Kluyveromyces lactis: one gene and its partner. The protein of the gene in region 1 interacts with the protein of each later gene in a pairwise test. Links are inferred from orthologs where the notes say so. Each region holds a gene or a part of one and is shown in the gene's direction. Other genes may lie near its edges. The genes, in order: VAM3 and YKT6.

Evidence for each region.
Region 2: the proteins of VAM3 (region 1) and YKT6 interact in a two-hybrid assay, tested with the Saccharomyces cerevisiae proteins (2 studies listed by BioGRID). The link is inferred for Kluyveromyces lactis from reciprocal best matches to the Saccharomyces cerevisiae genes VAM3 and YKT6.

The regions. Positions count from the first base shown.
Region 1 is NC_006039.1:1,128,302-1,131,292, reverse strand, and holds VAM3 (SNAP receptor VAM3), read left to right. Parts: upstream 1-1,484; coding exon 1,485-2,273; downstream 2,274-2,991. Other genes in the region: DNA-directed DNA polymerase alpha catalytic subunit POL1, read right to left, coding at 1-964; MET4 (Met4p), read right to left, coding at 2,425-2,991. UniProt on the Saccharomyces cerevisiae protein: Required for vacuolar assembly. Provides the t-SNARE function in a late step of the vacuolar assembly. Required for homotypic vacuole membrane fusion, autophagy and fusion of biosynthetic transport vesicles with the vacuole.
Region 2 is NC_006040.1:227,787-230,670, reverse strand, and holds YKT6 (palmitoyltransferase YKT6), read left to right. Parts: upstream 1-1,504; coding exon 1,505-2,107; downstream 2,108-2,884. Other genes in the region: MIA40 (Mia40p), read right to left, coding at 1-1,105.

The DNA.
Region 1 (2,991 bases):
CTTCGGTAAAATCAGTCCAAAAAAAGTTAAAACTACCGGTCTCAGCGTCTACTACATCCTCTTTAGGTATTCTTTGTCTCAGTGATCCGGAAATTGATTCTGTTGCTTGTGTGGACCCTGTAGAAGTTGACAATGGGGTGTTAGGAGCAGTGACATATGTTGGCGAAGACGTTAATGGTGCTGTTTGAGCGCTGATATTCATCTGCCTTTGAGTAGCTATTGATTTGAATTTTTTTCTACCAAAGTGAATATCATCTTCGTCATCTTCACTGTCATCTTCGCTTTGATATGTCTTCTGCTTGCTCATTGAAGGAGAACTAGCCACATCGTTTAATAATGATTCAATATCGTGGTCCTCTTCCATTGAATCACAATCGATAGGATTAACGCTATCAGCTTTAAAAGGTACAACATCTTTACCTTTAAGTGGGGATGTATCTACCTGAGGGTGTTTATAGTTCATAGGCGTAGTATTTGCAGGTTGTTTTCTGGATATCGTTAGCTTCGGCTTCTTAACCAGAGGCTCTGCGTCAAATTCACTCAAAATATCATCAAATTCAGCAAGTGACACTTTCTTAGGTTTTTCTGTTGGCATTGTCATTTTTCTCTTGACATTTTGTTGCTTTATGATATCGCTGATGGTATCCTTACCTTTGTTATTCTTACTGGTCTTATTACGCTTTTTGCCTGACTTTGCATCAACACCATCGTCTTCATCAGAGTAGAACTCCTGACTTTGATCCCATTCATCTACACCACGATCCACATATCCACTGCCATCATCATCTTCAACAAAATCATCTCTTAACAACTCTTGTCTTTTCTTACTCCTATATTGATCCTCGTCAATCAAGTCATACACATTTTCTTCTTCCAGTTGTTCATCTAGCACATCCCTATTCGATTTATTATTCCTAGCTTTCTGCAATTTTTTGAGCAGTTCAAGTTTGTTCGCATTACTCATCCCGAGCTAGTGTTTTAATAGTGTAGGGTGGCAGTACGAACTACCCTAGTAATTTAGTTTTGTTGTCTTTCCTGGTTTGAGTTGCAAGAAGAAGATGATGAAGATGTTCTTACTTTTACGCGTTCTTTTTTTTTTTAAAGTTGTATCTATCTGCAAAGCACGCGTTCGAAATCTATGAACTTAATGGCACCAACGCTGAGACAAAGCGAGAGTGCATGAGAAGAAAAGCGAGCGAAAGATTGAGTGACAGTAGAATACCGACAACACTTGAGTGGTTAAACGGTGAAGCCGCTGAAGTGTTAGAGAGTGTGCGCTCCTCAATATTATGATACGAATTTCCATTAGTTGAACCAATTGGCGTTGGCTTGGAAAGAAAAATGGATCACATGACCTGTGGTTTAAGACTGTCCTCAATTTTAAAGTGCTCAAATTGAGGTTTGTGATCATTAACTGAAGGGAAGGATAACTGTTAAGGAAACAGCTGATAGCAGGACCCGTAAAGATAATCGCGTTACATCTGATGTCCTTTTATCAAAATAGTACTCCAAAAAAGGAGGACAATCGTGCAGATTCTAGTGGAAACGATGCGGTGCCTTTGTTGATAACACTAGAACAGAATATTCAATTACTCAAGCGTAAAGCTCATCTAATAGGGACAAGCAAGGACGGACAACTATTGAGGGTTGATATAAAAAATAGAGTAATCCCCGAAATCCAGAAAATTAGTCGAAAACTGGCTGACTTAACTTCGCTAGATACACAAGATAAATTTGCTCGAGATTTTCAAGCGTTAAGCAAACAATATAACAGTGTAAAGACCGATTATGAGAATAGGGCAGTACAGAATCCCATACCTGACGAAGAGAGTAAAGATAATGAATCGGAACATCTCGTATCGCAATATGAAAGCATGCCAATACAAGACGATATCGAGAGGAGGGATCATTCTTCAGAGGATACTCCGTTACTTTTGTCTACCCAACAGCAAGAGCCTTTGTTGAATCAGGATGAGTTAGATTTTCACACGATAATTCAACATGAAAGATCCCAGGACATATCAAAAATCCACTCTGCTGTGCAAGAGGTCAATGCCATCTTCAAACAACTAGGAAGTCTGGTACAGGAACAGGGCGAACAAGTTGACACAATTGGCGAAAATGTGACAGGATTATCTAATAATTTGCAAAAGGCGAACAAAGAACTTCACAAAGCAAATGAATATCAAAGGAAAAAGAACAGATGTGGTACAATACTTCTAGTAGCTATTGTTGTTATCACTCTAATAACTCTTATCGCGATTCTATCATAGGGTTAGATTCTACGAGGAATGTAACTATATATTAATACAAAATTTATCTCTGGCCTTATACTTGGATGAAAGTTACGTTACGTTTTAGAGAACACGCATCATCAGGTAAATATGTCCGACTTAGAGGTTACAACTAATTATTAATCATAGCTTACTTGTCAGTATCCTTTTTAGTGCTTTCGGAGGAGTTATTTTTGGATAGTTCATAAGACTCAACATTCTTGAGATCTCCACGTTCAATGACAAGATTTTTGAGAAGTCTGTTTTCCATTTCAAGGGTATTGATTCTTTGCTTCAAGTCACAAGCTAACTGTGAAAGATCTTGGACCCAAGTTTCCATTTCTTTCTCTTTAAGTTTTTTAGTTTGATCCAAGTTCGGCAGTTTGGGTCTTGAAGAAAGGGTTGAGGAAGTGGACGACGATTCTACACCATCACTGGAGGAATTGTTTTTATCAGAATCAGTATTATGCTTTTTTTCGTTTATCTTCTCATCGAGACTCTTAGCAGCATTTTCCTTGTCATTGAGAAGTTCTTCCGATTGTCTCACCTCTTCCTTCAATTTAGCAGACGTTACATCCTTCCTAAGAGAGGAAGCTGATTCTAGTTTCCTGACAACTGATTTTGGTGTTTTACTGATACCATCATCCAGTGTTTGCTTTGCAGAATTCTCTTCGCTTTCTTTCTTTATGTTGTTAGAAATTGAGCCGTGGTGCACTTT
Region 2 (2,884 bases), on another chromosome or scaffold:
GTACTTCAACAGTAGAGGTGGCAGTTGAAACCGGGGTAGTGCTCTTATCCTCGATTTTTGAAGCTTCTGCAGAAGCTTCTTCTTCATCCTTGATTTGTTCAGCATAATAGTCTGGGTATTTTCTGAAACAATTTTGCATAGTGGAGAACTTCTCAACACAGTTGATACCCTTTGGATCAGCTTCAGAGTAGACAAAACATGAAAAAGCGGACTTAAACTCTTCACCGCAAGGACCGTATGCCATACCACCTAAACAAGGACAATCCCAGTTGATTTCACCAGTTTCTGGGTTGTATGCAGTTTGTTGTTCGTTTTTTTTTTCACCTTGAACACCTGCAGCCGCAGCAGCCGCAGTAGCGGACTGTTCAGCAGTGCCACCGGAGATAGACCGAATTTCAGCTTGCTCTTCTGCTTCTGTTATGGTCTCAGCTTCAGCAGGAGATTTTTCATGCAAAACAACATCCGATTCACCTTCTGAACCGTCTTTTGAGGCGGTTTTTACGGCATCTGGGCTTGTTTGTTGAATCTCCTTTTTGTCAGCTTCATCTTCTAAAACAACACCCTTGGCAGTTTTTGAGTCATCGAAGCTCAAAGAGGGAGCTTTGGTATCCTCGGAAATGCCAGTAACAGGTTCATTGGTGGCTTCTCCACTGGCAGCTGGTTCGGTAGCTTGTTCATTGACGGATTCAGCAACTGGCTCAATGGCAGCTGGCTCATCTCCTGATAAGGTGGCTGCTAAGGCCTGGTGTGTCTCCTCGCTATAAGTAATCTCGTTCTCAGGAGTAGTAACTGGCTCAGCACCTTCCTCCTGAGCAGACACCGGAGATTCATCGGCATCCTTCGTAGGTTCAGAAATAGATTGTGATTGGCCCGCTGCAGGAGTCTCTTCAGCAGGCTTCTCAGCAGGAGCAGGCTTCCTCTCAATCAAAGTAGGACACCCATCAGCAACGTAGATGGCACCAAGAGTACTGAACCCAGCCAACAACAATGCTGGCTTGTTCATATGGCTCACTCCACCGGAAGGTGGATGAGCACTGTAAAACCTAATTTGTCTAGCGGATCTAAAAGCAACACGTCTAGTAGCTTGTAAAGAAACACGGAACATTGTCTTCAAAAAAATATGTATATGCCTATAATCAATTGACTCGTCAGCAACTTTCAAACGTTTTCTAAGTGTACTGTAAAAATACCAAACCTAACTAAAAGCAAATTTCTTTCCTCCCGTTGTGGGTATCAATCAGCTTCTCTTTTAAATGTTCCTTTGACAAATTGAAAATGCCTTTGTTAGCAAAAAAAAGAAAAATTCGAATATCAAACAAAATGGATATTGAAGCATTGTGATATGAGGATGGGAAATGATGATGTATTTTGAAGATAACACGGAGACGAGAAGGACAGTGTTATAGTACACGTATAGGGGATCTAAGAATAGTTAAGTTTGGGCAAAATAGTAGCTTTTTTTCTCATTTGACAAGTGGGAGAAAACAGGATACAGGATACAAGGATGAAGATATATTACATTGGAGTTTTAAGAAACAGCGATGATAAGACCCTTGAATTAAGTTCTGTGAAGGACTTATCACAATTTGGGTTCTTTGAAAGGAACAGTGTTGCACAGTTCATGTCCTTTTTCAGTGAGACTGTTGCTGGCAGGACAAGTGCTGGTCAAAGACAGAGTGTTGAAGAAGGTAACTATGTAGGTCACGTTTACGCAAGGCCTGAAGGAATTTGTGGTGTTTTGATTACGGATAAGGAGTACCCAGTAAGACCAGCTTATACGTTGTTGAACAAAGTATTGGATGAGTATTTGGTAGCGCACCCTCCTATCCAGTGGAAGGACGTGACGGAGAGTGACGATTCGCTCAAGTTGAAGGAGTTGGATATCTATATTGCCAAGTATCAGGACCCATCTCAAGCTGATGCAATAATGCGTGTACAGCAAGAATTAGACGAGACCAAGATCACGCTACACAAAACCATTGAAAACGTATTACAAAGAGGTGAGAAATTGGACAATTTGGTAGACAAGTCCGAATCACTATCTGCTGCATCGAGGATGTTCTATAAGCAAGCAAAGAAAACCAATTCGTGCTGTATAGTTATGTAGACGGATTTGAAATAGAGGCCAAAACATGGCCAGCCTGATCATATATAGCCCTTGCTACGAGTATTAAGCATAATAGTAATCAAAATAAAGTAATAGTAAGGTTTCACCGGCGTTTTGACCGCCACCTTTGATCAGCCTTTCGTTCCTTCCTGTCCACTAGGGTCTGATTTATCTATCATCATCTGGCTGAGTACGGGCAGCGGATCAATTTTGAAAGAAATTTTCTCCAAAAAAAACGACCCCGGAGAGGATTGAACTCTCGATCTTGCGATTAACAGTCGCACGCCTTAACCAGCTTGGCCACGGAGTCTACTTGCTGGACGCTGTCTTTTGTCCAAGATACCATAAGGTCCAAGACCGACCATTGCCTGCTCACCTGATATTACGTTATCTGCCTGTTAAATTCGGAGTACTTACTCACAGCGTTATCCCCCCCAAACACATAATATACAGGAGGTAAACAGCAGCTCCAAAAGTCACTCCGAATCTCGCTTTTCTCAAGCTCATCGTTAGCGTATCGATGGTATAGTTCGGGCCCTGTTTCCTGTTCTCCGACCCACCCTGTCTGCTTTCTCCCCACGCTACAATTTTTTTTTCAGTTCAAAATGCCGTTATGCATGCGCAAACCTCTCGAGACGTCCTTTTTACCGTTTTCCGTGTTCTATGTCAAGCTATGGAACACTTCACTGTTCTATCTACCGTCTGCTACGACTCCCTACGCTATTGCAGGTTTGTTGACCCATCTGACCTTAGATCTCCAACTGTTCGGCTGGCAAC